Linked DNA regions of Oreochromis niloticus. Each later gene encodes a partner of the first gene's protein in a complex. Links are inferred from orthologs where the notes say so. Each region holds a gene or a part of one and is shown in the gene's direction. Other genes may lie near its edges.

Region 1 (10,669 bases):
CGGACAGGAATATCTGATGGTACCTGAAGAGAACAGGTGATGGAAGCTCAGTCTCACTACCAGACAGCCACCTCAGTAACACCTGGGTACTCTTCCAGGCAGTTATCATGAACCATGATCTAAATTAATATAATTTTTTATTTCCCTGGTCAGCAGGACCGGCAGGATCTTGTATGTATTTAAAACAGCTTTCTTTCCACTGGAACATCCGCTTCTACAACAATCTCTGCACAGCTGCAGAATTCTTTCAATTTAAATTCAGGATTTTTTGAATATTCGTTCGCTTTGAATCTCCACCAGCTGCTGAGGGAAACATCTGCCTCTGTAGCTGCAGATGCAATATTTGCACCAGTTAGTCTGTAAAGAGCAGTTTCTTGTTGCTACACCTGTGAGTCAGCTGCACATCAGCAGGATGTTGATGAAGAAACCTGAGGGTATGAGTATTTGGACACACTTCCACACGTGAGCATCTTTAAGAGCAGCTTTAAAACATTCTTACAACAATAAATGAAGATTCAGAGATCAGATCACTGGACATGCTATGATGGGTGGATTAAGGCTACTCTTCTTAAAATAGCTTTCTAATTGGTTGGATTGAAAGGTGGGTGGGGCTTCTAGACCAAAAATGAGACTGCTGCTCATTTATGACATCATACAGATCCAAGAGTAGAAAAGAAACTGACAAACTGAGTGTTTAGAGCGGTTTGAAGCCTGAACTGAAGTTATCTTGTTATTGGATCACTGAGGTTTCATAATTAGTAACATTTTATGTGTAATGTATTTTAATGTATTTAGTGCTTTAAATCTCAGTGGGTCTTTGCGGGTAAACAAAGTAATAAAATGTAAAAATAAAATCAAAAGCACTGTAGATACACTGAGCTCAGTATTATAACTATGGCCACCAGTGGAACATCAGTGCCAGGAAACAAAGGATATCAGGTCCTCTCTGAACACAGGATACTGTAGTACTGCTCACTTAACTACAGACACAATGACTGTGTTGCTATAAAGTCTTCAGAGGTGAGACAGAAGCTACCAGTAATCTCCAACTCATGCTTAACATTTCATATATATGTCAGGGTAACAGGACGGGGGTGTGAAGGGGGCGTGCTGCTTCAAATGAGCGAATGACAACAGAAGGAAGGGAGGCAGAGCGAGAGTTATATATAGAGAAACACACAAGCGACAGTGTGTAAGCTCTGGAGGAGTGTTTGAAGGTTAAGGTGACGTTTAATGATTAGATCTACCCTTTTAGCTGTGATATTCACACATTACTGATGTTGAGCCTATTTTAAAAACAGCTGGATGTGTAACAGGTCTGCTCCAGTCTACAAACACAGACAGGGGTAAAAACAAGTACGCTCTCTGTCACTTCTAAGGTTTTAAACAGGTCTTAAAATTGGATCAATTCAGCCTCAGATGAACAACAACACATGACACTTTACACCGACTCACTCTTAAACAAAAATGAAGCCAAAAAGCAGAAGCTGTGTGTGAGAATAAATGCACCTCATGATTCAGCAGCTTTAACGGGAATGAGCTGAAGCGACGGTTTCCTGCATGACTTCATGAGTCTGTCACCTCACTGTGGAGGAGTTTTATCCCACTTGTCTTCACAGCGTTGCTTCAGCTCATTGATGTTTGCAGCATTCATTTATGCACAGCTCTCTGAAGGTGTGTGTGTGTGTGTGTGTGTGTGTGTGTGTGTTTGTACTAACGTGAGCGGTTTTCCAGAGGCCGTCTGTTGGAGCTGTTTTCCAAGACCAAACCCAAAGAAACTGATGGCCATCATAGGAGCCACACCTGCCAGGGGAGCCCCCATACCTTTATAGAGACCAAGGATGCCCTGACACACACACACACACACACACACACACACACACACACACACACACAAGATTTTAAATGAGTTTCTAGTTTTTATTGAAGTGTCTGTACTTCAGTTGATGTGTCACATGTTGAAAACAGAGCTGACTATTGGCTCTGGTCTGTGTGACTGTCCGCTGTAATAAGCAGAAAGCGCTCACCTCTTTGGATACGGTCTTGCGTAAGCAGTCATACGTTCCTGTGTAGAGCACATACTGAGCGGCTTTGGGCTGTGTTTGTAGTCTCACCTGAAACACACAGTTTAAATAAGAAGAATTACACACACACACACACACACACACACACACACACAGGAGGATTGCTGAGTGCTGTCAGACAGGAGGAGACACCCACTAACATCTGCTGCTCTGTCACCGATAAACAGGGCGGTGTTGCGCTCATGTGACGGTTACTGTGATGATGATGTGATCAAACTGTATCTTCACAAAGACTCAGTGTGTCGCACACAAACACACTGACGTGGTTTAGATAGATTAGAAAAAGATCTGGATTAAAAATAACGTACATGTTGTAACGATATGTTTCTGCACATTCAAAGTTACTATATGTGAATAATAAAGTTACACAAATCATTTGCAGTTATTACTTAAAAAAACTAAGTTATAAGTTTGTTTGTTTGTTTTTTAAAAAGGTGAAAATGCTATAGTGAGAATAATGAGACGTTTCCAGCTAATTGTTGTGATGTGTTCAATAAATGTGATGCTTCATGGCATTACTTTGTTTTATGTCATAAATCTGATTTTAACTTCGTGAGTTTGAGCTGCACACTTTGTACCCACGCTGTGACATTTCCTCGACAGTCTCCCGCAGGCTCTGAGCAGCCTCATTATTCCGTGTTCAGGTGGCCGCCTCGGCAACAGTTTAAGCTGATTTGTCGGTAATCTCTTCAGCACCTACACGATCTCTGACATTTCCTGTGACTTCCTCAGAAACATTAAACACCTGAGAACCCCCCCACACGGACACACGTGGACTGAATGTTTGTGTCTAAAGATCTAAATAAGCTGCGTTGAAGCTCGGCTGGGGCTGCAGCTCTCACCTTGATGGTGTCCAGTGGGTGTCCGGCCAGCAGCAGACACGCTCCTCCGACACCCCCAGCCACGAAGTTCTTGAACGGAGACACTCTGGGCTTTTCCTCCATCCCGCTGACCCCGCATGGCCCGAGCACACAGCCGGGGAACCTCACCACCTCACACCGCCGCTGTCCCGGGAGGGGAGTGTGCGACTGTCAGCTGTCTGTCTGTGGGTCTGTCTGTGTGTGTCTAAGTGTGTCTCTCCGTGGACTTTGTCTCTCAGAGCTGAGCGGAAACGAGAAGAACAGTTTTTTCCTGTAAATAATTTATCTTCACAGTCACCCCTTCACATGTCCATAAACTCTTTGCTTTAGTCATATGGCGCACTTTAAACCACTGCGTTTTATATTTTTGTAGTTCATAAAAATCTGCCGCAGGTGTATTCACAGGTGAGGTTGAAACAGGGGAGACAGCGCCCTCTGGTGTTCACAGGACGAAAGATTTGATTTCTTAATAATGTCCAAAGTAAAAATACTACACTGCAATAGTACACCTGAGGGTCCTTCACTGCTGAAAGGACTTCCTTACCTCTGCTGAGGAGGTTCTGCTTTCGGCAGTGTTTGCGTGTCATCCCATCTGAAAACACGAGAGTTTTGAATAAATTCAGATCAAACTTTGCAGGGTTGCAGATGGCGTCATGTTAACCGTCCATTGAAATTCAGCTTCCATCCACCAGCGTCTTCAAGGTCATCTTCAGGAGTTATTGGTGGAAAATGGCCAAAAGAAACTATGATTCCCAAAAGTGTGGTATGTATCATCAAGATCTACAAAGTAACATAAAACATATAAAATACGCCACATTTGACGTCTCCTTCAAGGTCAGTGGATCGAGCTGAAGGTCAAAATGATGATAATGCTGTATAGGGCTATTTTAAACTTCTCATTCACATTGTTTATATTGACAACAATAACAAGGAAGTGGATAAAAATAGGGAATCATATATGGGGATTGTAAATATTGTGGTACTTTGGACCTCTGACCTCTTATTCAAGGTCAAATAACATCAAACTTTGACAAAACGTCTTTTATCTTTAAAACTGTGCTTAAGATTCTGCTTGTTTGTTCGTACTGGCTACATGAAGGAAAGGATACTGGTATATGGGGATTCTCACATCATAGTTGCATCCTAATAGCTGGACACTCTGGTGACAGTGGCAGAGAAAAGGACATTAAAGAAACTGATGGACATTATGGACAATGCTGGGCATCCTCTGCACACAGCCATAAACAACCAGAGGAGTCTGTTCAGTGACAGGTTGCTTCTCCCAAAATCAAGAACCAACAGACTTAAAAACTCCTTTGTCCCACACGCCATCAGACTGTTTAACTCCTCTCTGGAGGGGAGAGGGAGGGGAAACAGGAGGACAAGGGAGGGGGGAACAACTAAGCTGCAGTGCCTCTTCACTTCACTGTGCAATACTTTTTGCTAATATCCAACGGTGCAATAGACTTCAATACTTGAAATGTGCAATTCCCTTGTATTCTTATTCCTATTTATTCTATTTATCCCTTTCATATATTTTATTTAAATATGTCTGTATTTATATATGTGTATATATAGTATTCTGCTCACGTTCTGTAACTTCTGTCGGTGCTGTGCTATTGGAAACCGAATTTCCCAGAGGAACCCACCCAAGGGATTAATAAAGTTTTATCTAATCTAATCTATCTATCTAATATTGTCTTACATTTGACCTCTGACCTCACTTTTACATTTCTGCCTTTATTGATCCTAAAATGTGTTCAATCTTTAAGGAAAGTATTTTCAAGAGGAAGAGAGAGAGAGCTCTATTATTATATAATAACCTCAAGTTATTCATATCCGGTTGTTTACAAAGTTATCCACTCTTACATGTTTATAGAAAAATAGAATATTATTCCCTTAACAGTAAGTACTGCCCAGAGAGCGAGATGCCTCGGTGGATGTTTGTGCTTCTTGTTCACACGTTAATTACTGTGACTTGCATATTTTCCTATAAAATCATTTATTCAATAAAACTCTAAAATCTCATGTAGCACATTGTTTAGCCTAAATAAACAGTCTAAGATGACAATTAAAAATGGTGATGAATTAAAAGTACATACAGTATTTTACTTTTGAAACTGTTCAAATCCAGAATTTCTAAGATTGAAACACTTTTTTTTCAGCAATTTTTATGTTCTCGAATATCAGACTGGTGCAACAATAAACATGGGACTTTAAATATAATTTTTAAAAGTAATAATAATGGAAATTATTTTCCTCATCCAGAGGATGACATGGAGGTATTCATAGTCGGATGAAAGGGTCTGTAGCTTCGTCTTCAGTATGGACAGTTACATTTATCTCATACAGAGGCTGGTACACTTTCCAATGGAATACCGAGAAGACTTTTTAACTTATTATAAAAAGTTTTATTATAAGTTAATAATCTCATTTCAAAATTACACATGTGCTCTTCCTACCAATCACAGAAGCTAACAGCCGACGAAAAGTCAACAGGTGCAGAGGTCTGAAAAAATATATCAATTTAACTAAATGAAGTATGAAGCTCATCTTGGATTTCTGTTAGTTTCATTTTAAATATGCTAGTCTGTAGAATAAATTCCAGTAGTTCCTCACGTGGGTCCTCCTGTGCAATGAATTTAATCATAAGTTATATCAATGTGATTATTTATGTCTTTATCAAACGTTCATATTTCTGTTCATTGGTAATTATGCAAATTAGTCCCTTTTTACACGTAAACTAATGAACATTATTATTCTGGTGAATTTGTAAAATAAAAATAATTTTCTCGATATAATAAACCTTCAAACTGTCACAGGGAAAAAATAAATAAAATCAATCAATTTATATTTAATTAATGACTGAAACCAACGACATTTCTGTCGAATGAAACGGAAAGGAAAAGCGGCAAGTGCAAATGACGTCATCAGCAGGCGCCTACAAGCCCCATTAGCGGGAATTTGACCGTTTGGAACCGGTGGAGGATCAAAGTGAGTCATCTTCTAAAACATACAGAGTATGTGAATCTTCTGTTAGCCACGCTGTATCCCGGGAACTCCGGGTGAAGTATTTTAGGGCACGTAGTTAGCAACGCTCTCTGCTCTGCTTTTCGCGTAAACGATCTGTGGCCACTTCCGGGTTGTTGTTTTTGTTCAGCCTGTAGACTTTCTCGTTTAAAACGCGCCGAAACACACAGAGAAACACACACACACACACACACACACACACACGCGGTGTAGCTACGGTGATCAGGTCCCAACAAAGTGAATGTGGGGTAAACACTGTGTTTGTGTGGGACAGGTCAGCGCTGAGTCTGAAATTTCAGATCTAACTAGGTTTGCTCGCTTACAAAGAAATGAACAAACTGATTTTTACAGTAGTTTGATTTTAATGGAGTGAGACGGAACAGCCAATCACGGAGGCTGAAACATGCTGTGGGCTGCTTTCCTGCAGAGGGTACAGGATGACCTCAACCATATTTCAACCAATAACATTCAAATTATGTTATAACTTTTATGTAATGGTTTTTTTGGGAAGGGGGGTGGGTGATTCTCTTTCTATTAAAATAAAACTGCCATAAAAATTAGACTGTTTGTTTCTTTGTAGGAGAGCAAACTTATAAATTTAGGAATGAGGTCAAATAATTCTTTCCTCCTTTGTAAATACATCATGGCCTTAAATACTCCTGTATTGTGTTTGGCTTCACTGTTATTTCAGTTGCTCTTCTGTCTGGTGACAGTTCCTCTGTTCCAGTTGGGATGTATCCCTGAATCACAAACCTTCTTCAAGACACATCTGACAGTTTTACCATTTTTAATCCAGTGATGATGCACATGCTGTATCACCTCACACCATAATTTCCTGCAAAGCTGCAAACAGAATGACCTTTGGTGACAGGCTGATCATCTTCAGATAATGATAAACCGCCTCCCCTTCGTGTATGTGAAAGTCAGACTTTAGAAAAGTGCATGTACTGCAGAACCATTCGAGATGTGGCGCAGGGGGCCAGGAAGAAAAATACTGTGCAGTCCAACCTAAAGAGGGACATCTGTTCACCCTACCTGTCTCCTTTATCAGGCGGTGTGTCGCCATGACGCAGAGGAAAAGACCGTCCAGCACACAGAGCTCCTCTCAGAGAGTAAGTCCTTCATTTCTACCACAGAAGAAATCCTTTTCACTCCGAGTGTCTGCAGTGTTACAGTAATGAGAAGCGCTAGAGTAAAGTGGTGAACTCGAGACCACGTCCAGATCAAAACCACTGCAGCTGGAAAACAGTGACCCACGCAGGACAAAAGATTCAAACTGTGAATCTTTTTTCCTGCATGGAAGAAATATTCACAGGAGTAGTTTGATAAATAATTACCACTGTAACTACTGTTTAAAAAAAAAAAAAAAAACTGAAGCCAAACTAATATTACATCCACTCCACGTGTCCCAATTGTAGGCGCTTCAGCATCATGGGATATAGAGTTTGATTTAAGTGCAGTAATTTAATGTCTGTGACGCAGAGGGACAGAAGCAAGCTCCGGCTCTCTGGATGTTTGCTCTGGAAAATGTTTTGCATGGTTTCCATAAACAAAGGCTGACAAACATCAGAGATGCCACGAGCAGAAACCGCTGAAGCAGCTGGACGAACAGGCCGGTCCCTGATGGCGGTGAGGTAGTCTGAATGTCACTTTAATGGAAACCCTTCCACATCTTCAGCGGGGTACCTCAGGGTCATCGGCACTTCGTCGAAGTCAGGGGTCTCAAACTTGCTGGCACTGTCATCTCACTTTAGTGTTCAAATAGTACAAAACAACCAAACAAACAAGAAGAAAACACAAACAAATATTTCCAAAAGTGTAGCATTTTGTTTGTTTTTTATTTTTTATTCCAATTTTGTATAACAAGACAAAACTGCAAACTAACTGAAGATTTCATTGAACTACCAAATAAACACACCAGTCCTCTATTTCTGGACAGACACACTTTGTTCGTATGTAACAAAATACAAACACAGACACAAATGTTCACATTAGTTTGTGACTCTCACTGAACTAACACAGCCGATCCCTCAGCATGTTTGTGCTCTCTGCTCATATCACCTTCATGTTAAATCATTAGAAAAATGTATTTTAACATTGCACTCAACAACAAACAAATCCTCCCTAACAGAAAAAGTCACTTTAAGGGCCAAACTGTGTTATATTTCTTGACATCAATATACGGGCTGCGACTTTGAGGTCTAAGCGTAGCAGCAAAGCCAAGATTTTGACCTGTGGAGGGTTCCGGCTGCGAGCTCAGACCAACCATAACCATCCTGAACTGGTTTCGGCTGCTGGATCTCTCTTCCCAGTGATTTTTTTTTAAAGTTGCGTGTGCTCCAAGCCGATCTTCTGAAAGAAACAGGGCACTGACGTTGTCGGGAAATTTTTTCATAGCAAAGGAGGCTGAGTGTGAATGTAGCGTCACTGCCACCTCGTCTCAGACTGATGCAGTCAGATGCTTGGGGCAGCATGGAGGCCAGGAGCTCATTGATTGCTGCTCCTTCTCTTTGAGACCTAGTAGCTTTGATTGGTTGGACTTGATGGTTTTTGGCGTTGACCCTCTGGAGGTCTGTCCGTTTGGCGATTATTGCAAGAACCCTATCGTGTCTCCATCTTCTCCCAGAGCTTTTGCACAGCCAGCCTATAAAAGTCAAAGTTACCGTACAGAAAAGAAAGCAGAATCTGAGGGTTTCAGTGAGTTTCATGGAGACTGATTTCAGACAACATTTTTCCCACACAGAGACACACCGGCAACTTGGTGGCTCAGGACGAGGATGATGACGTGGCCTTCACTCAGCCGAGTACATCACAGGTGCAGAGAGGGCTGGAGAAGCTCACACCTGCACAGGTCGACCAAAAGGTACAGAACAAGGAGAAATCCAGAGTTTGATTCTTAATGATCAGTAAAATGTATTTAATGTTTTTTTCTGTCACTCGTCTGTCTGCAGACTGCTGAGGTGGTGCAGTACTTCCTGGTGAAGGACCAGAAGAAGATGCCTGTACGGCGAGCAGGTACAGACAGAACCACCAGGGAGCGTTTGATGCCGCGTCTCTTTGAATACACGACAGCTTTCCACTGAAAAACCCTCCGAGGTTTCTATCAGCTGAGCTGTGAATCAAACAGGAGTAACAGTTAAACTGAGCGCTGAGGAACAGAAGTGTGCCTCGAAAACTGAGAGGCTGCTGAAGTTTGTTCATGTGTTGACGCTCGATACGATGTGTTTGCTTCTTAAACGCATCGTTTAAGTGAGAAGATTATCATTTTAAGAAAGTATTTGGATTTGATAGCAGCAGCATGTCTCATAAGTATGTTTCCCACTGTGCAGCATCCACTCATCTCATAACTACAGTCCATAAACATCTGGGAAATGAGTTCAGCAGCTGGACTTCTCCAGGTTTTAGTTTCCTCAGAAAACAAGAGGGGTTTTCTCAAACTTTGTTCTTAACCTTGAGCGTTCCTCTTGTGTGATTACAGCCTGTCTGAAAATTCTCAAATAAAACCAAATGAAAATATAAAGTTATTCCAGCTCAAAGGCTTAAACTGAAAACGGACTGTTTCAGGCCTGTTTGTGTAGAATAGGATCAGAGAGGAACAGCAGTCACATATAGGTTTGTTTTTAAAAAATATTAAAAGTCCTCAGTGTGTCGTGTCGGGTTCTGAAGAAGACGTTGTGAGTCTGCGGTGTTTTAAAACCTCGCTCGCAGCCGTGGATGTCCCATAATGCACAGTAATGAAGGATGACGTCTCCTCTGTGCCGTTTCAGACCTGGTGAAACACGTGGTGAAGGACTACCGAAACATTTACCCCGAGATCTTAAAGAGGGCGGCGCGGACGTTTGACCAGGTTTGTAGAGTTGGAGGTGATCGGCGTCACGATTCACGATTTGACAGTGAAACTGTCTCAGCGCTGCGCTCCTCTGCTGCTCTGTCCAGGTGTTCGGCCTGAAGCTGGTGGAAATCGACCCTAAAAATAAAATGTACATATTGGTCAATAATTTGGAGACGCCTGACAAAGCCTCGCCGATCAGGTGAGTATTCATGCATATATTCATAAACCGGGGAAACGAGTGTCTAAACATCAGCAGTACAAATGTTTGTGTCCTTGTGTGCGCTGTGTGCAGGAGTCTGAGGTCTTTAACTTTAAACTTTAGAAAGTGGGCAGAGACTGCAGCCCCATCTAGTGGTGACATCATGTGTTACATCACAACCCAAACAGTTAAACGCTGATGCCGGCGAGTACGAGCAGCAGGATTTAATTATTGAATACCTGCATGTTTTAGACTCTGACACAGCCAACACGAGTCCGTCATCAGAAAACCTGCATTTGTGTAACAAGTGTCTGTTTCCTGTGACGCGTAGGAGCCCGTCCAATCCAAAGATGGGTCTGCTGTTAGCGATCCTCAGCGTCATTTTCATGAAAGGCGGTGTCGTCAGAGAGAGTGAGTTTCAGTCTGCTTTGAATAAAATAAAGGCGAGTTCATCTGTGGAACGACACAAGTTTGACACGTTTGTCTTCCCTCGTCGTACAGATCTGATCTGGAACACTCTGAAGAAGCTGCGCGTGGACCCGGGGTGAGGCCACGCCCCATCAGTCGGCGCACAGCTGCCCGTTAGGAGTCGGCACAAATCTGACTTTAAACGTTTCTGTTTGCTGTGCGCAGAGAGAAGCACGAGGAGTTTGGTGACGTGAGG
Region 2 (10,287 bases), on another chromosome or scaffold:
ACCAGGAAGTTCCTGCACCAGATGATCCGCACAATCAATATCAAAGAAGAAGTGCTTATTACCATGCAAATAGTTGGAGATCTGTCCTATGCGTGGCAGATTATTGACAGGTATTTACTTATTTGTTTACTTAATAAACAAAATAAGGCCAGAGTAAAGTAGTTAGTTTAACTAGTGTCATATATAGACACAGTATCTCTTAATTTTGTCATCAGGTTAGTGAATCTTAGTGGAGCACAGTCACTGTGCACTTCACTTGGTGTGCAAAACAGCAGCAACTCATTCTGCTTACCTTTCTATATTGCAAATCATCACAAAACCACCACAGAACACTGCAAGTGTTTTGGCTTTGATTTATTTCACTTGTGTTTTTGGTTTGTCTGTTTTGATGAATTCATCTTTTTTTCCTGACTTATGCTTTATTTTACAGCTTTACATCCATTATGCAGGAGAGCATCAGAGTCAACCCATCCATGGTTACCAAACTGAGAGCTACATTTCTGAAGGTGAGGGTCTATTTATGTCTAGGAGTGGGACAAAATATGTCGATTACAATACATCCCACTGCTTCCTCTTGCAATATGACTGTCGACTTGGTGCTAAACAGTGTTTTTATCAAACAGTTCGACTTACCAGATTCACTACTTCATGACTCATTGTAGTTGCACTCATTATTTAGCATATTAGAGCTACTTTCCCCCTTCATTTGCACCAATATCTTCATGCATCACAGATAAATGTCTTGCGAAATGTATGAGTATTGCAGATTCACTGTGGTAGCATTTCATGAACAAATTTACACGTCCAACATATACACAGTCGTTTTTGGACTCGCCTATTCTTAATGCAGCTGTTTACACCGATCACGTAACTTTGCTGAACGAATTTGCAACATTAATTTTTTCGAATCAAGCTGAACTTTTGAGATTTTTTAGATCCAAATAAACAAATCTGACTAATCAAGCCACTGCATTTGTCAGCGAGTGTGAAGTTGCTCTAAACATGCACCCGTGCTGAGTAAACAAATTAAAAAATTAATACTTTTTTGCCTAAAAAACCCTCAGTTTCTTCCTTTTCTTGTTTAGAAACATCAGGAGCTTCCTTATGATTTCTGTCGACTTCATTTTTTGTTCTGTGTATTTTTTACGGACGAATTTTCCGCTAAAATGTCTACATTACACAAGTATGCATCCAAAAAATTCGGAAATTCATGTCACTTTTTTGCAGCCTGCTCAGCGTGTAACACTTGGACTGATTAAAACACAAAATGTGTGTGTGTGTGTGTGTGTGTGAGACCAGCTGGCATCTGCATTGGATCTTCCATTGCTGCGTATCAACCAGGCCAACAGTGCTGACCTGCTGAGTGTTTCTCAGTTCTACTCTGGAGAGTTGGTGTCCTATGTGAGAAAGGTAGTGTATGATGTCATTTTTTTTCTGCTTCTCTTTCCTCTTACAAAAGCTTCTGCTTTGAAATGTTTTGGTCTAATATTCTCTTAGTGTGTAGTCTCATAATTTTAACAAATGAGCTCTGCGTGCTGCAAACCGTTTTTCAGTATCAGTGCTGTAGCAGCTGCAGGAATGATGAATTTTTGAGAAACAATCTGTTTGGCAAATGTACCCACTAAGAAGTGCTTAGTGCATCTGTACCTTGACGTTGTGGCAACTTCTGAGCTATAACTTTATGCTGGAAGATTTTTTCCTTCTGGCTATACTTGAGATCCTTGACCTAATGGATATACAATAAACAGTCCTTTTTTTTAAAATCGTCTTGCTTCCAGGTGCTGCAAATTATCCCAGAGAGCATGTTCACTTCGCTAGCCAAAATAATCAAGCTTCAGATCCACGACATTATGGAGGTGCCCACACGGCTGGATAAGGACAAGCTAAAGGACTACGCCCAACTGACGGCTCGCTATGAAGTGAGACAAACTGTTGTGTATGAAACTGTCTCCTTCCCCTTGAGTTATGTTCAGAATGTCACTGACGTAAAGAAAAGGGAAAAAATATCTTCAGATGTTGTATAAAATAAAATAATAAAAAAAAATAGATAAGAGAGCTCATTTTGTTCTGTTTTGATCTCGCCTCATCAGCTGTATGGGAGTCGGAGGCAATCATGCTAACATTTTTCAATCTGCTCACAGCTTTTGATGTGAAATACAAATTGGAAAAGGAAGCGTGATATGGAAACAGATTGTGCCAGCAGACTTAGTTGAATTGGATTAATTAGAGTGTGAAGTACTGAAGTTACTTTTTAATTTTTTTTTCAGTCATATTTGGAATTGCAGTCCAGTGCCTTGAAATTAAAATAAGATCATTGTAGAATGGAACTTTTTTTGTTTTTTAAACTGAAAATCAATCAAAACATTGGCTTTTATATCAATGATTGACATCAATATTATTCATATATATATTATATTTTTGCATGCCTAAACATCGTTCTGTTCTGTGTCTTTGCAGGTGGCAAAACTAACTCATGACATATCTATTTTCACTGAGGGCATTTTAATGATGAAGACTACTCTCGTTGGGATTATCAAGGTAAATACAGTGATTAAGGTTTCTGAAATTTGAGAACAAAGATTTCTGTCTTTCAGAAGATTAAAACAATCCTGCTGAGGGATTTGGTGCAGTACAGGTTTGCTTTATTAACACACTGTGATGTTTAAGGTGGATCCTAAGCAGCTTCTGGAGGATGGCATCAGGAAGGAGCTGGTGAAGAGGGTGGCTTATGCATTGCACAGAGGCTTAATCTTCAATCCAAAGGCAAAGGTGAGACACTACACCTGCTGTATATTATGGATTTTTAATCTTCAGTTAAAGTTTGTAATATATATTCTGTATGTTGACCAGTTTCCATGTTAAGTTTCCCAATGATATTGAAGGATTAACAGCAGTAAAATAAAATAAAAGAGAAAAAATACTCAACTCTTTCAGCCCAGTGAACTGATGCCCAAGTTGAAGGAGATGGGCGCCACCATGGATGGCTTCTACAGGTCGTTTGAATACATCCAGGACTACGTCAGCATTTATGGCCTTAAAATCTGGCAGGAGGAAGTGTCCCGCATCGTCAACTATAATGTGGAACAGGAGTGCAACAGTTTTCTCAGAACCAAGGTCAAACTTAACACGCTTTCTCCTTTTCCCTGAGTAGTGCACTGAGAGCAGTTTGTCCCTGACTGATAGATAAGAAGTGTTCTAGTTGTTTGGCTGTTTCTCAGTAATAGCAGTTGGCTGATTGGCTTGTTTCTTGCTTCTCTTCAGATCCAGGACTGGCAGAGTGTGCACCAGTCCACCCACATTCCTATTCCCAAGTTTCCCTCTGTGGATGAGTCTGCCACCTTCATCGGTCGTCTCTGCAGAGAAATCCTCCGAATCACTGATCCCAAGTATGTCTCATCGGACATAACAGTGGAAGTGAAATAAGAGTTAGTGAAATTAGCAGAATAACTGAGTTTATATCTGAGGATGGAGGAGAAAAAAAATCTTTGGTTATGCAGTTTATTGATGGTGGAATACACTGGTTCTTCCTATAGGTTGACATGTTACATTGACCAGATGAACACCTGGTATGACCTGAAGAGCCACCAGGAGGTGACTAACAACAGATTGTTCTCTGAGATCCAGAACACCCTGGGTACATTTGGCCTTAACGGACTGGACCGCCTGCTCTGCTTCATGATTGTCAAGGAACTTCAGGTATTTACCCCAATATTTACCTCAGTATCCCCCCAAATTGCACCCCACCCCCCAAAAAGATGCCATTCAGGTCAACAAAGATAAAACCCTGAAATCATGTCAATCTTGGCAGTGTCTTTAGTGCATGTGGTATGGCTCCCAGATTGTAGTGATGTATGTGTTTGTCTCATCAGAACTTCCTGACAATACTTCAGAAGACCATCCTGAAGGACAAAGCTGTGGTGGAGGTCTTCAGAACATTGCAAGGTGCCGTCAGTCCAGTCCAAGGCATTGTGGGTAGGTATTCACTTAGAGAATCTATAACCTGCCTTTTCTTGTACAGATCTCATTATTGTTTTTGTTGCTGTAGCAAATGCCAGCAAAGTCTACAGCAGTGCTGTGGCCAAATCCCAGAAGATCTGGGGTACATATCAGGAAGCCATCATGAAGGTACTGCTCCATGTTCTCATGTTAATGAATAGAAAATAAAAGTAAAAAATTGTCACAATTTTCTGATGAAAATAATAAAATAATAATAAAATAATTTTGAATGCATATGTTTATTGAAGGTTGGTCAGATGCAGATTCTCAGACAGCAGATCGCTAATGAGCTTAACTACTCCTGCAAGTTTGACTCCAAACACCTGGCGGCTGCACTGGAAAACCTCAACAAGTCTGTATATTCTTGCCATAATGCCACTGAGTCGTTGTTTATATGTTTCCATTACTTACCCCCAAGTGCTACTCTGTGTTAATGACTTTTGTGATGGATGCTTCTGCTAATTGCATCATGTCTGTTTTAGTCTCACACTGTTCTTTTATGCTCACTCTGATTATGTTCTTGCCAGGTCTCTGCTGGCAGACATTGAGGCCCATTACCAGGACCCATCCCTGCCTTATCCTAAAGAGGACAACACTCTTTTGTACGATATCACTGCCTACCTGGAGGCTGCTGGCATTCACAATCCTCTCAACAAGGTTTGAACAGAAGGGGCATCTCTTCCCACATAATCAGTTAGTCTTGTTCTGATTTCACCTGAATCGAAATGAGTCTTTTCAATGACGACCACAAATGTAAGCTGTTTTTTGCTTTCTTTGGCTATACATTAGCAGATGTTCGTGTTCAGACTCTTTTTGTTCTACTTATGCTTCACACAGATCTACATCACTACAAAGCGCCTCCCGTACTTCCCCATCATCAACTTCCTCTTTATTATTGCTCAGCTGCCTAAACTTCAGTACAACAAAAACCAAGGTGATTTTTTCCCCCATTAGTTTTTTGTTTGAAGTTGATCAGAGATCAGGTTACACAGTTTTGAGTACAATGGGTCAGTCCTTGCCGCCTCTTCACTTACTTCAGTTGCAGCAGACTTTATTATTTTTCAGAAAGCGGCATTAAATATTATGGATTTGTTTTTCCCCACATTTTTCTGCTAACGCACAGTCCCTGAATGTCTCTGAATGTGGTTTTAATTTGATGTTTTGTCTTATGGTAGGAATGACCTGCAGGAAAGCAACAGACCCGGTCGACTGGCCTCCACTGGTGCTCGGCTTGCTCACCCTGCTCAAGCAGTTCCACTCCAGATACACACAACAGTTCCTGGCTCTCATTGGTCAATTCATCCGCTCAATCATGGAGCAGTGCACAAGGTAGCAAAACAGACTTCACAACTTCAGAAAGATTTCTAAAATAAGATTCGAAATCAAATATTCTGTGTGGTAGGTTTCCTTGGTGATGATTGCGGATTGTGTTACCGGACATAAAATGTATCTGGTTATAGCCTCATGAAATCATATTAAAGCTTCCGTTTGATCCTGTTATAGTCAGAAAATCCCTGACATGCCTTCTGATGTGGTGGGAGCTCTGATGTTCCTTGAAGACTACGTGAAGTACACAAAACTGTCACGTAAGGTAGGTGCAACTTTCCCTATATTATTTGTATTAGTGTTTGAAAATATTTTAAGTGGTTGTAAATGATAAGAGTTGACAAAGTTGACAGTACCCAGGGGTAGTAGTAGAGCTGAAATGTTGAAACATCAATATGCTTAGGAGCATTATTATTGGACAGCCAGATTTAATACCCATCAGCTATGGGAACAGATTTTAAAATACTATTTTTTGCATCTGTACTGTACTATATTTGTGTAACAGTAACATGTATTTCCTTGTGTTTTCTGTGTTTTTAAGGTGGCGGAAGCTCATGTGCCCAGTTATATTTTTGATGAGTTCAGGACAATACTGTGAAGATATGGATGAAGATTTTCATTTAAACATTCGGGTTTTTTGCCGAATGTTTTTCCACTGCAGACATTTTGTCTCAATGTAGTGACTGCACAGGTGTTACTAATAATTAACAACTGATTTGTTAGGTTTAAGTGCTCCAGCAAGCGTGACCACAGGTATTAATACTATTTTATTATTATTCACTGTGCCTATTCTACAGTGATATGTCAAATGTGGGGCCTTTTGATTTGTTTACTTACATTTCATTGTGCTAACTATCAGTGTCTTGCACTTACAGATTGTAAATTAAAAGAACATTAAAATGCAAATAAATCACTCTTACAACTTTATGTACTAAGATTCTGTGCCATTTATAAATGAAATGGATTAATAAATACGTTTCTTTCTATTAAAGAAGCAGTTTTGTTTTCCTTCCGTTTAAACATATTTTGTTAAAGCTTTTACTTTGAAAAACCATACCCGGAAGTTAGAAGTTAGCTTCTGTTGTGGCTCCGTTTTAGCGGGTGATTTGTGTGCGTTTGTATAGCATCCACAGTTTCTATAGTTTATTTACGTTTCGCTTGTTATTTTTATACTAAAAGCATTACTGAAACAGATTGTACTTGACGTTCATGTAGGTGTCGGTCATTTTGCCGGCAGAACTAGATACCTGTTAGCAAGCTAGGCTAACGTTATCGTTAATAGCACATTAAATTTAGCTCTGGTTTGTAGTCCCAAAGTAATAAAGGTAGCTTTCACAATGTCTCTGAGCGCTGTTCACGGAACTCTGTCGAGTCTGAAATCCTGTCAGGCTGACATCGGGACAGGTATGGACATTGTGACAGACGTGGCTATGGACCTGGCGGAAGCTCAGGGTAAATATTAAAGATTTTCTAAAAAAGCTCACCAACTCCATCTATAATCACTACATTATTTATAAACGTTAAAATATATCTGGTAAGCGAATAATTAATGTTTTTGGGTGCTTTAGATTTGTTTTTAAGGTTTATAACTAATTTTGGAGCGTACATTTAAAGTACTTTGCAAAAGACTTGGGCTACCCATCATTGGCTAAAAAGGAGCCAGACCTTCGTAATGTTTTCAAAATAGTCTTGTGCAGCAGTTCTTTGGGCTTTCTGGAAATGTTGCAAGGATTTTCCTTGGACATTGACTGCTTTTTTATTGACCATTTTTTAGGAATGTTTTTCATTCTTTGTTAAGCCATTGAACACGGACCTATGAATCACTTTAATATTAAAAAACAGAATGCACCTACCTCAAGGAACCCAGTGGCATGTCTACATATATTAAATAACTTAGCAAAGAACTGATTTTAAGTTGTATCATTAGGCACTTTGTGTTTTTGCGACAGGCGGCTAGTAACATTTTTTTTTTTTTTTAGTTGAATCTATGAAGAATGCCAGAGATAACACAATTGGACAGACATTACATAGGATTTTTGCACAAACAAGGTGATTCCCAAAGAGCTGCTAGCTGTTTGTGTGCGTGTGTGTTATGGTGTGACTGCTCAAGTGAATACTTCTTTGGTGTGCTTTTATGTTAAAGATGACGAGATGAACCCGGGCATCAAAGAGATGGAGGCCATGATTCTGGAGTGTGCCAAGCTGGACAGGGAGATTAACTACTTTGTTGATGTGGTGCAACAAGTCACAGCTGAGGTGAGAACAGCCTGAAGGTTTCCTTGCATTAGGCGACAGAGATAACGGATATTACAACAGTGTGCTTAAACTTTGTTCATTGTATAGAAAGTTTTGATGCACCATTTGTAGTGTAGACCCATCAGGTGATCCCTACTTGACTCAAGAGGAACATGTCATTATTGTCTTTAAATAATCATTGCATTGTTAATGCTGCTATTTCTGCATAAAGTGAGAGCTGTACATTAGAGCTCTTAAATGTGACACAGTTATAAACATAATGACTCATAATGGAGTCAATATAAAAGTCAGTTTAGTGACATTTTTTCAGCACTTAAATATTTTCAGTGATAATGGGGAATAGAGCAGAAAGTGTGCCATGGGACCACAACACACACACATTGTTCAGCGGCATCTGATTCTGCCTTTACTAACATACAGCTCAGCAGGTTAGATCACATCGTCAGGAATGGCTGAACATAATCTTGTGCAGAGTGCAGCATAGGTCACCATGGTGACGTAGCCGATGAGTTGGAAAACTCTTAACACTATGTTCAGAAGAAGACGCAAACCTTGGGCATTTGTGAAGCATTTCTGAATTAAATACAAATTATTGCAAATTATATAACACATTTCAATCACTGTAGGTTACCACTCAACAGCCGGAGGCTATGTTCAGCCTGTCTGCCAAAGTGAAGGAGCAGTTCACAGAGAGAATAGCCCGACTCTCTGATGCTGACCTGCACACTCACCAGAAAGTAATGGCTTTCAAGGAAAGTGTCAAAAACTCTTTCAAACAAGGTAAGGCCTGTGGAGAGACGGGAGAGATTTACTTGAATTAGACTCACCGCAGTGCATTCAGGACTTCTAATGGACTTTGATAATAGCAGTGCTATCGGAGGACTTCTTGCTGAGCAGAGAGATCTTGGGATGTGCCTTTTTTAGGATAATTAGCTTCATTTTAAAACACGCAGCTTCCTTTGTTTACCGTTGAATGATTGTTTCCCTGTCACCCTGTGGCTGTTATTTTCTGCTTTTTAACTCTTACTAATTACAGCTATGCCGGCCTCATATAGTGCCATGCTTTTGTGAGTCTCTGTAGGAATTATAGGCTACATTATGCTAAGTATAATGTTATTTTCACGAGCTGACTCAAAATGAAAATGTCTGAAAAAAGAGCCAAATGTGAGAACTTACTTTGAAGCATGAACTTTGTGAGCCGAGGTGATCATTGCAGTGTATTCTGTGAGGGCTTAGCCCATTGAACACCATTATTATTCACTGAATTAGTATTACTTCATGTTCCTGTTAAGGGATACATTTTGAGGTTTCAGATCTGCTTGCTTAAAGGCTGAAATATAAATATGTTGAATAGCATAATCATATGGAGAAGTTTACAAAGGCCACATATAGAGAGCAGTTTTTAATACTTTGGGCTCAAGTTAGCCTTTGAGTTCTTCAGTAGTTGTAGATGTGCCAGGACAACAACTGTAGATATGAAATTTATTTGCAGACTAAAAAAAAAAAGATGTTGTGTATAAAGTTGGGGTGTGCATGTGTGTGCAGTAAACGTTGGTGGATGGTGGTACGTACTATCAAGTTGATTAATTTTTTTACTCTGAGTGGACAAATGGAAGCAAACTGCATGTGCATTGTTTGTTTTTAGCTAACCAGGAGTCAGCAGAGAGCATGGAGGAGCTCGATGAGGACATCGCTGTGACACAGAGTCAAGTCAACTTCACCTGCCCACTCACACAGGTAGATTACTGATTAGATTTGTAGATTACAGGTAGATTAATCCAGTGTGTTTTCATGCCTCTGTCTTTGCCCCAGAGGTGTTATGTTTTCATTGTGTCCATCTACGTGTCGGGGTATTCCTTTAGATTAGGCACAGACATTCAATTGGACTAAAGGGTGAGCTCATTAGAGTTTGCATGGTCACAATCCAAAAAATTTGGGCTAATTATGACAAAATTTCACACCAGTCCCAGGATTATTACAATATTGGTGTTTTTCGGGGGCGACTGTGGTTCAGGGGGTTTGGAAGCTCATTTTGTAACCGGAAAGTTGCCGGTTCGATCCCCAACTCTGTCTGTCTTGGTCGTTGTGTCCTTGGGCAAGACACTTCACCTACCACCTACTGGTGATGGCCAGAGGGGCCGATGGCGCGATATGGCAGCCTCGCTTCTGTCAGTCTGCCGCAGGGCAGCTGTGGCTACAACTGTAGCTTGCCTCCACCAGTGTGTGAATGTGAGAGTGAATGAATAGTGGAATTGTAAAGCGCTTTGAGGGTCTCGAAAAGCGCTATATAAATGCAATCCATTATTATTATTTTCATTTGGCTCAGGCTAAAACATCTTAGGTGGGTGCCAAAATGTGTCTACGCAGAAAAAAACAAAAAACAAAATCCTGAATGTAAGATGATGTTTCTGCAAAATGCATCATTCTGATCTCGCTTGCTTGCTTGTTCAAACTGCTTTTTCAACAAAACACAGGTAACTTGAAACTTATTCTTTTGTGTCTCTGTTCTAGGTGGAAATGGCGAACCCGGTGAAGAACAAGAAGTGTAACCACCACTATGATGAAGCAGCAATCCTGGGCCTGATCAAAACAAAACACAGCCAGAAAAAGAAATGCCGGTAAGACACTGCATCTCTGAGGACCGTTAGAAAGTGGAGTCAGGTTTTCTAGCAGTAAATAACACTGCAGGCTGGTGTGGGACCAGCAGGC
Region 3 (10,207 bases), on another chromosome or scaffold:
TCTCTTTCAGCTCCCGGTTTTCCTTTTGGAGAGAATAAATCTCATTGGGATTGGCATTTTTATGCTGTGTATTCCAGTGAGGAGGAGGAGGAGGACCACAATTATTTTTGCGGGGTCTGAGGTTGTAGTTTCCTTGGGAGATGGCAGCAAACTAACCATGTGTCTTGTATCTTAATAAAAAGACGAGTGGAGATCCTTCTTGGACACAAGAGTTGAAAACCTGTAAAAATGTTTTTTTCTAAATCGCAGACGAACTGCAGTGAAAATTTGAGAAAAGCAAATACACTGTGGTGCAGACTGAACGCGGGTCCTATATATGGGGTTTTTTTCGATGACGTCACAGTTGCCGAAACCCTTTGATGATCCCCTACCACGTGATATTAATGAGTCGAATGCATAGTTTTTGATCTCTTCCATAACAACTGTAGTTGTTGATAGTCTTCCATAACAAATGTTGTTGGGTAGATAGCTTGGACTGGGAGCACTGTAAGGTGCTAGTTCAGATTTGCAGCTACCACTCCCCGGAGTGTCGGCCAGAACACTGCTCAAGGCCCGGATGAAGGTTCAGAAGGGAGACAATGAAGACACCGAGGATAGTGCAGACTCTTGTATTGACTTCACACAGTTGAAGGTAACAGGGATTGTCAGAGGAGCAGGTATTGCATAGAGGTTTAGGTGCGTGGGTATGTGTGTGGGTGTGTGTGGTCTCTGAAAGGAACAGAAAGAACTACATTACTAAAGTGTTCACATCAATAACTCCAGAGTACATCAACATAAACACAGGTGGGAAATAACTAACATCCCCTTTAATACCATAGGCCATATATTACCCACAACTCATGCATAGACCCACTGAGAGAGCTAACACAGTACACAATTATACCCAACCACACTGCAGGAGAGTTAGCTTAGCTTAGCTTAGCACCCAGACAGAAACATAGTCATTTCCCCCCTAACTCCCAAACACATCTTATCATCACATACTCACACATCACAAACTTACGTTGGTCATTAACGCACACTTCTCAAGGAATGACCAATTCTCTGCTGGTAATCTGGAGCAGAAAAGCTCAGGTGCCTTGCCCCAGTGTTGCCAACTCCTCAGTGAGGAAAATCGCTATTGGTTGTCCTAAAAATCGCTAGAAGTCGCCAAATGACGTCATCGCCTAATTTGCATAATTGGTCATGCTAATGTAATTGTAACTTACATTGTTGGAGAGAGAAATAACATCGTGGAAGAGACATAAAGTGAGTAAAAAATACCATACATGCATTTAGAATTTATTTAGAACTATAAATTAAATTTCTTTTAGCAATTATGGTTTTTTAATGTCACAATTCCAACCCTGCACCTTTATCTGGGCTTGGACCGGCAAAAGTGACCCGAAATAGGCACTCTGGTGGAGTTACTTTCTTTGTGTGTGTGTGTGTTTACAAGTAGGTTTAAACCTTGTGATCCACAAAACAGCATAACAGTAAAAGAAGAACTGACTGTGTTACAGTCAGTGCGGGAGCAGCGGCTTCGCTCATGCGCGATTCATTTGCAGTTTGGACACATACTGTAGGTGTGAACATCTACTACCCTGATAGCAGCAGCGCGAGGACTATCCTTTGCCTGTGAGCGCTTTGGCACGGGCGAGGTGCCCACGGCAGCACCCGGTGCTTGTTGAGAGTAGGAGCGATACGCGCTTTCATGTCAAAAAGTCATCATAAATAAGTCTCCAATAACACCAGAAAAAGTCGCCAGATTTGTCGCTAGTCGCTTTTTAGAAAAAAAAGTCGCTAAGGGGGTCTGAAAACTCGCTAAATATAGCGACAAAGTCGCTAAGTTGGCAACACTGCCTTGCCCACGTTTCTCCCTGCCCATAGTCTCTCTCATACAAAGCGGTGGGGTGACCTCTACTGGCCACTCTAAAAAACTACAGGTGAAACTAACAACTGAACAGAATAAAACCATAACCACGGGGCCTTTTGTACAGTAGTTGTTGATAGTCTTGCATAACAGCTGTAGGTCCACAAGTTTTGTCATTAAAATACAGTCAGGGTAAAAACAGCGTACATTCTGTACCACATAATCAGGACATAATAAAAACGATCTAGCCTGTACCAGGTCAAAAAAAGTCCATAAACACAATCTGAGGTGAACAAGAACAACTCATTAAATATATTATACCTTGTCTTTATTTATTTATTTAGCAAAAATAAAGCAGAAATGTAGAAGCAGCACGTGAAAAACTATAAATATGCTCCCACGAGTCAACAGCTTGTCAAAGCAGCAACAACTCGATATAAATGTTTTGTTTGTTTGTTTGTTTGTTTTCCTTTTTTGGTCTCAGTCTCTCGAGGGGTTACGAAGGAATTTTGCCCACTTCCACTGAAAGAGGAAACGTTACCGTTTAAGTCTGCATTCACAAAGAAATCCCCTCAGATCGAGTTTTATATAAAACTTATACTTTTAAAGTCACAATTTAATTCTTTTTTAAAGAAAGGACAATAATAATCTGATTTTCATTTGTGACATTTTGAATTGAAATCATATTTTTTTGTCATTTAAAGCACCTTGAGGCAACTGGTGTTGTGATTTGGCGCTGTATAAATAAAATTGAAATGAATTGAAGACTTGAGACGTCTGAATGATCTTGCAGAAATAGTGGTGCTATTTTCCAACAGAGTGGACCTAGAGCTGTTATGCAAGACTATCAACAACTACTGTACAAAAGGCCCCGTGGTTATGGTTTTATTCTGTTCAGTTGTTAGTTTCACCTGTAGTTTTTTAGAGTGGCCAGTAGAGGTCACCCCACCGCTCAGTAGACTGGGATTTCATAGCTGTTGGCGAAACAATGTGAGGAAGAGCCCAAAAACTGTGGAGGTAGAGTTTCCCCAACTGTTCACGGTTGTTGTCTGGATTATGAAGTGAAAGAAATAATAATAGTTCGCATAAACAATAAGAGGACAGGACATCACAGATAGTAAAATCCCATTTTGATGCCACTGTCATCTGTGTGAACCATGTTGGTGTGTTGTTTTATGGAGTTTCAACAGCAGCTCCACCTCTATGATAGTTCGATTGAAGTGATCTGAGGCCATTAAAATGAACCCTGTGTTATACACAAGCAACTCAACTAAAAAAGTCATTATATATGTTGTGGATAGGCATAGCTTTGGGTCACGTGGTGTCGGTAATAGTAGTAGTGATTGCTATATCACCTGTTCACGGCTCGAGGGAATTTTTGTGAATGAGTGGGTGATGGGGGAAGTCGACTTTTGCTAACCGCTCAAGCCTAGAATGTTTTGATCACTGTTTTTCTATAGATTTTAAGGATTTGATAACAAATGAAGGAGTTTTTAACCTGGAACTTTGAACAGCGGGCGCGTCAACATTATTCCCCTATTCAGCTGCTCGGCGACTCAAAGGCTTGACAGTCGCCAACAATATTTATTATGCCATGTCTTTAAGTATTTATTTATTTACCAACAATAAAGCATAAATGTAGAAGCAGCATGTGAAAAATTATAAATATGCTCCCACGATTCAACAGCTTGTCAACGCAGCATGTAAATGATGTTTGCCTCAGTCTCTCAAGTCGTTTTGGCACACTGAAAGAGGAAAAGTTAGGCTTTATGCCTGCAAAACTTGTACTTTTTAAGTAACTATTGAACTTTTAAAAAAAGAACGAAAACTAATAATATACTTTATTTTCTTTATTGTACACAAGTCACACGTCTGGATACCGACAGCGATGTCTTAAGACAGATATGTTCACTATTATTAGCGCACCATCTGCCGGTGAGCTCCTGCCTAGTCTGCTGAAGTTAGTTTCATATTTGACTAAAGAAACTGCATTGATTGGTTGTTTCACAGTAAACAAAAAAGTTGACTTTGGATTAATAATCTATGGTTAAAAAAAAAAAAAAAAAAAAATTATACACAAACGTCGTTATTTTAAAACTCGCCCTATTTTCACTGCCTTTCAGAGAGAATGAAAGGCAGTGAAAAAAAATATACATACATACACATATATATATATATATATATAGAGAGAGAGAGAGAGAGAGAGAGAGAGAGAGAGAGAGAGAGAGAGCGCGATGGATGAGCAGTGGATTTGCAGCATATAATTCAGCAGCAGACACAACTCTTTTGAAGTTAGACTTCATTCAGTATCAGGCACTAAGACTCTGCACAGATGCATTTAAAACAACCCCAACAGCAGCGTTACAGGTAGAGATGGGTGAGATGCCACTTGGAAGCAGAAGACAACAACTAACACTTAATTACTGGGAAAATCCACAGGGCCATGGACAGGATCACCCAACACAACCTTGCTGGGAGAAAGAAAGGTGGGTAACAAAGAGCTTTGGATGGACTTTAGGTAGAAGAGCAATAGAACTTAAATTGGACCAGTTCAAGATCAGTCAAAGATTGGCGTTACCAGCAATGCCTCGATCGATACTTTCTGATGCCACCGGGGATTTCACATTATTTGAAAAGAAGAATAGGGATGGGGCATTTAATTTAAACTCACACACAGTAGAAGCTTACATTGACCAGCATTATAATTATGTTTAAATATATACAGATGCATCAAAGAATACAGCCAGTCAAATTGGTGTAGCATTTGTTGTCCCAGAGTTCAAGGTCAAAATAGGTAAAAGGATCAATGATGGAGTGTCAGTATACACTGGAGAAATGCTAGCAATACTGTTAGCTGTTCAATGGGTAAGACATGAGACCGTTAAAAACAGCCATTTGTTCAGACTCAAGCTCGTCATTGGTCAGTTTACAGTGTAGCCACTCAGAACGTAGAGCAGATATCCTAACAGAGGTTCAGCAGACACTTTCTATAATACACATGATGGGACTTAAAGTTGTGTTTCTATGGAGTAAAAGCCAATGAATTGGCAGCTAGAGCTGCGAAGGAAGCCACAAAACATGGGGTAGTTGACCTGGGCATTAGCTTCGGTCAGACAGAGATTGGACGAGTATTGGAGTATTGAAGAGTATTGGACGGCAAGAAATGAAAAAAAGACACCAGAAACAGTGGGAGTAGGAAAGGAGGGGACGGTGTTTGTACAAAATTCAAAGGAGGGTAGGAAAAATGAGGAGGTGGTCATATCGAGAACAAGATTTGGACATGCTGGACTACACTATTCATGATAAGGAAACATAAAACAGGGAAATGTGACTACTGTGGAGAAGGGGAAACGATAGAACATGTCATCTTACACTGTCAGAAGTGCAGGTGGAGAGAAGATAACTGACCCAAAACCTCAGTAAGATAAAAATGAAACTAGATCTTATTTATTTCCTGCAAAAGGACTCTAGAAGTAAAAGTTATCAGGTCTTATTCCAGTTTTCAAAAGAGGGTAAAGAGGTGTTTGGGAGGATTTGAGTTGGGGGGTTTTTTAAGCGACGTTCCAGTCAACACTCCATACCAGTTGGTGGCGGTAATGCACCCTTCAGTTGTTTGCCAACCGCCAAAAAAATTTAGAAGAAGAAGGAATCCAAACTATCTTCGTTCATGACGACTTCTCTGACATCCAATTGGCGCGCCTTGTGTACGTTTGCCTCACAGGTACGTTGAAGCAATTATAATAAAAACTGCGCACGGGTGGATTAGTGACACTCACAACAGGCTGTGTATTTGCTTTTAACCAAGACTTTATTTGGCCGTGGCAGTCAAACGTCCAACAGTTGAGCTAAGCTAAGCGGCTATTGCTTTTGTTAGCTAACGTCGGCTAACGTTGAACATCAAAGATGTACACGAGTAAGGCGAGATATGTAACTGTGCAGGACTTCCGCGTTCGCGTTTGCAGGCACGAGAGGGTTCTGTTTTGTTATCTGACCTGTTAGAGCTAACATGACATAGTAGTCGTTTTCCAAAAGCAACTGTATGGTAAAATTTGCTAATCTGCATTTTATATTATATTTGGGCTGGGTTTACCACGTGTAAGCACTAGCATATGCGGATTTATATCTTGATTTTTTTGTGTCTTTGGCTAAAATTGGAGAAAACCCGTGTGGCTACGTTAGATATATGTACTAATAAAACACCGAGCATCTTGACAACCGAAGCCGTAAACAGACCGTTTCTGTACCCTGTCTCCAAGACTTATTTTAGAAGGTAATAAATAGCCCTGTTCATCGATAGAAACGCGCTTTGTTTATGTTTATTTGATTTCCGTCAGCCTGCTTCCCTTTCACAAAACACAGCCGAACTAGTGCGAGAGTGAAGATGAAGAGATCCAAAGGCGGTGGTGACGAGGAAGCTCCCCGGCAGAATGGCTCAGCGAGCCGAAGGAAAGCAGACCAGCAGCAAAGTGACGGGGACGAGGGTGGCAGTGACATCGGCCCAGCCGACCTGCAAGACGACGACAATGACCAGGGCCTGAGGAGAGAAATCAGGAGCAAATACAGAGACCTCATCAGCTCAGTGCAACGTGAGTGGCAGGTTTGGGGATTGCCAAAGTTGTTGATTTGTATGTATTCCAAACAAATCCTTGATGTTTGTTCTTCTTGTTTTGTTTTTCAGAGAACAGGGAAGATATGCTGAGCCCATCAAACAACAAACTAACAGAGGTTTTAGAGGAAGCAAACAAACTTTTTAAAGATGGTAGGTCTGATACATGCAAATGAATAACAGGCCAGCAGATCAATCATTTAGACCTTACAGTTTTTTGGGGGGTTTTGGTGGCAGTTCGACAGGCGAGAGAAGCAGCCCTGGATGCACAGCTCCTTGTTGTGGCTACAGACCTGGGGAAGGAGAAAGCCAGCCAGCTGTTCTCCGAGGGAACCGCTTTCGATCCCACTGCTTTTGCTGAGCATCTCGTGAGTATGATTACTGTATCATGTCTGTCCTTCAGTCACCTTGCATGAGTGGTCCATACAGACCTTGCAGTATTTCTGTCTGGATTTGCAACTCGAGCTGCACATGCTTTTGTTTTACCTTAAGTTATGTATGGTTAAAAAAAGGCAAGGAGGGCAAAACAAAGCTGACAGTAGTTTGTTTAGTGGACTCATTTGATGGCCAGACACAAACCCCAGTAATCATGAAATGTTAAATATGTGTCTGTAGGGCTGTGCGATATGACGAAATATATCGGATGATAAAATGAAAACATCTATCGTTTCATATTATACGCTATCATTTGTTTCGTGGTGTCACAAAATACACTGTTTATGGCAATATTTTTTTCGTTGTTTGGATGGTCATCGTGTGGATGCAGGCACAGAGAATACCAGCAGAAAGAGTATGGAGAGAGTTTACGGATGAGAAGCAAAAAAAAGAGCTGTCAGGTGCTCAAAATAAACCTTAGACTCAAACATTAGAACAGGCTTTTACCCGCAGCACGGCATGTAATAAATACAAAGGAAATTGCAGCCGTTACAACTTATATCTAAAAATATGTAGTTTAATGCATTGGTCCAAACACTCGACTCCAGCTGAAAACACTTCACACAAGTCGAGTTGCCCGAGATTCACAGAATTTACAGAAAATGCACTATTTTGTCATATATATCATCGGGATGAGAAATGTCTTATATCGGGATATGAGTTTCTGGTCATATGGCACAGCCCCTATGTTTCTTTATGATAACGCGTTAGCTATAGCAGCTTTGTACTAGTTTTTTTTTCCTGTTCATTTAAGTGAATAATACAGACACAAATGCTAATAAATGTAGGAAAATGTGCTTTTTTTTAAACACAACTTTCAAAGCATCACATACTGCAGTGGTCATGTGGCGATGTCTATGTTTCTCTACAGTTGTCGTTCATGGGTTTGAACCGACTAGAAGATGATGAAGACGAGCAGCAGACCACTGCTAATGGCTACCTGCCGCAGGATGCCTGGCACCGATTGGCCAGGAGAGCAGAGTGCTGCTTTAGGACAGCCCCCTCTTTCCACTACATGTGAGTGATTTAGAAAGTCTGTTTACTAGCTGGGACCGCAGTGCCAGGGTTTTTGCCTGCCAACTAAAAATAGACTGATGTTCTGTGAAGAAGCAAATTAATAAGACGGAAGCTTTCTTGGGACAAGCACACGTGGTCTTCTGCCAGTCCATAAAAGTAGAATAAGTGGTTCCAGATTAGCTGCCAGTAATCAAAGCATCCTTGAACAGCCCTGTGCCTTTTCCTACAAACTTTTCATTTCTCTTAATTCTTTTTCTTTGAAATTATTAAGCACAGGAAGGATGTAAAGTAGAAAGATTTGGGAAAGGACAACCACAGTCCTAAGGGTATCTGTTTGCACTTACACTAGGCTACTTAGTAATGTAAGGCTGAGGGCTGCTGTGCCGAAACTACAATATTCTGAGATAGAACTACAAAAAACAAGTCTTAGACACGTCTTTGCACTTTGCATCCCTACCATGTTGTGCAATTCTTGGTAAATGTGGACAAACAGGAGCAAAATATGACAACTTGAAAGACAACTTGTGCAACTGGGTTACAGTTAAGCTTTAACTCCAGTTTGACCATTTTAATGTGTCTGCTTGTTTATTTGCGAGCAGTTTTCTAAACCCACTTTGCATAGTTTGCCACAAGATAACACCTAGGGGTGGGCAATGTAGCCTCAAAACTTGGTTTTGAAACTCCAGCAACATGTGTAGTATAAAAAACACTTTATTACTTGACCAGCGTCTTCCTGGGATGATGATGATATTAGACTCACAATATTGTTACATGTTGAGCACTTCATAAAGTTGGCATGTTGGGATGTTGTACCTTGGTCAGGCTTTGCTATAGTTTATACTGGGATAATATACTTGGCCAAAGAATATGTAAAGACTTGAGTCATTTTCATCCACTGTTTGCTCCTCCTGTCACATGGAGTGCACCTAACAAGTGCTCGAGTGATGCCAGGTTGTGTCGTTTGCTGTCATAGCCTGGGTATACTCAACTTTGTACTTTTGTCTTAAACAAAACAAGTTTATTGTTTCTACCTTTAAGAGGAGGAGATTTCTTGCATATTTTACAAAGTATTTTGTGGTGTTGGAATTTCTTGGTTGTTGTTTAAGCAGTCTGGGATTGTGTCATTGTTGTGCCTGCTGGTAAACGCATGACACTGTCGTGCCACTCATATCAGGTTGCGACACTTTTATATCACATAAAAATTTATGCTGGTAAATTATGGATGGTATGATGTGGCAAAATTTTACAGCAGCAGGGTAATGCTTGCTCAGTCATGCTTAGGGTTTTGCAGTCATGTGATGTTATTTTGTCTGCTATTTTGGGAATTTGATGCTGTACGGTGACGTGAATAAGGTCCCAGTCACGCAGTCAGCAACCCCCTGGCAAGCAGCAGTCGTAAAGGAGAGAGATGTGTATTTCCTGACCAGCTGGTGAATGGTTGCTGACACAAAGAGGTCGGCCGTTCTGCACAAATATCCTCCTCTTAATTGTTTTTCACTAGCATATTGCTCCAGTTGCCTGTAGATTGCATGCAGGATGGCTTGTCTGCAGACAGTTGCCAGCAGCTCGCTGAGTGGTCTTTTTTTTTTTTTTTTTTTTACTACCACGATGGAGTTAGTTGGTGAGTGTTTGCAAACAAGTTGGTGTCTTCCATGGAAACTACAAAGCAATCTGCAGGACTAAAATGATCACAAGGATGATTTTGGTGCGGCACCCTCTTTATGGCTGATTCTACCTACCACTCACCAATCAGTCACTCCCTGGTGGCGGTGTCATGTCCAATATGGTGGACAACTCTCAAACAATGTGAGCATAATGTCATCAACGCAACCTCACCTGTGGATTTAACATATCAAAAGTTCTAAACAGAAGGCGCATTGTCAAACTATGGCGTAAGATGGAACAACACAGTGGTTTTATGTGGATACATTTTCTGATTTTTTTTTTGTTGTTGTTTTTTTTGTTTCCCATCCCTCTGGTTCTTTGCAGGATGGGCTCGTTCTATGCAGAACCACCTCCCCCGAAACAAAGGATAGAACGGCAAAGAAAAGCACCCAGCAAAGAAGCCAAAAGGATAATGCCTACTCAGGTAACTGAAATGACACTTCCATGGCTGCCGTTACCTACATGTAGTTTAAGATAAATGTAGTAGCCACCCGTCCCTGTTTCCATTTTCCACACATACACAAAGTTTCACCACATTATCCACCACATTGTTGGTATTTGAACCCAGTGATCCCTGTGAATCTTCTTCTGTTGATTTGGAACCCCTGGAAGTTTATTTTAAAGCTATTATT

What was found.
Region 2: ndnl2 (region 1) and nsmce2 share a complex: the UniProt entries of both Homo sapiens proteins name them as parts of the SMC5-SMC6 complex. The link is inferred for Oreochromis niloticus from reciprocal best matches to the Homo sapiens genes NSMCE3 and NSMCE2.
Region 3: ndnl2 (region 1) and nsmce4a share a complex: the UniProt entries of both Homo sapiens proteins name them as parts of the SMC5-SMC6 complex. The link is inferred for Oreochromis niloticus from reciprocal best matches to the Homo sapiens genes NSMCE3 and NSMCE4A.

What each region holds. Positions count from the first base shown.
Region 1 is NC_031984.2:1,637,664-1,648,332, forward strand, and holds the start of ndnl2 (necdin-like 2), read left to right. Parts: upstream 1-5,826; 5' UTR 5,827-5,938; exon of another isoform or gene 5,939-5,964; intron 5,965-7,025; 5' UTR 7,026-7,038; coding exon 7,039-7,086; intron 7,087-8,717; coding exon 8,718-8,837; intron 8,838-8,925; coding exon 8,926-8,989; intron 8,990-9,741; coding exon 9,742-9,821; intron 9,822-9,910; coding exon 9,911-10,005; intron 10,006-10,336; coding exon 10,337-10,416; intron 10,417-10,506; coding exon 10,507-10,549; intron 10,550-10,638; coding exon 10,639-10,669. Other genes in the region: si:dkey-150i13.2 (mitochondrial carnitine/acylcarnitine carrier protein), read right to left, coding at 1-23, 1,719-1,846, 2,028-2,114, 2,927-3,028. UniProt on the Homo sapiens protein: Component of the SMC5-SMC6 complex, a complex involved in repair of DNA double-strand breaks by homologous recombination. The complex may promote sister chromatid homologous recombination by recruiting the SMC1-SMC3 cohesin complex to double-strand breaks.
Region 2 is NC_031976.2:11,175,555-11,185,841, forward strand, and holds the start of nsmce2 (E3 SUMO-protein ligase NSE2), read left to right. Parts: upstream 1-6,360; 5' UTR 6,361-6,659; coding exon 6,660-6,774; intron 6,775-7,301; exon of another isoform or gene 7,302-7,316; coding exon of another isoform or gene 7,317-7,371; intron 7,372-7,465; coding exon 7,466-7,578; intron 7,579-8,204; coding exon 8,205-8,358; intron 8,359-9,223; coding exon 9,224-9,315; intron 9,316-10,089; coding exon 10,090-10,196; intron 10,197-10,287. Other genes in the region: washc5 (WASH complex subunit 5), read left to right, coding at 1-110, 431-506, 1,300-1,410, 1,779-1,919, 2,458-2,538, 2,668-2,769, 2,935-3,114, 3,262-3,386 and 9 more. UniProt on the Homo sapiens protein: E3 SUMO-protein ligase component of the SMC5-SMC6 complex, a complex involved in DNA double-strand break repair by homologous recombination. Is not be required for the stability of the complex.
Region 3 is NC_031978.2:22,360,711-22,370,917, reverse strand, and holds the start of nsmce4a (non-structural maintenance of chromosomes element 4 homolog A), read left to right. Parts: upstream 1-5,924; 5' UTR 5,925-5,961; coding exon 5,962-6,122; intron 6,123-6,186; coding exon of another isoform or gene 6,187-6,211; coding exon 6,212-6,438; intron 6,439-6,530; coding exon 6,531-6,611; intron 6,612-6,695; coding exon 6,696-6,826; intron 6,827-7,764; coding exon 7,765-7,910; intron 7,911-9,899; coding exon 9,900-9,999; intron 10,000-10,207. UniProt on the Homo sapiens protein: Component of the SMC5-SMC6 complex, a complex involved in DNA double-strand breaks by homologous recombination. The complex may promote sister chromatid homologous recombination by recruiting the SMC1-SMC3 cohesin complex to double-strand breaks.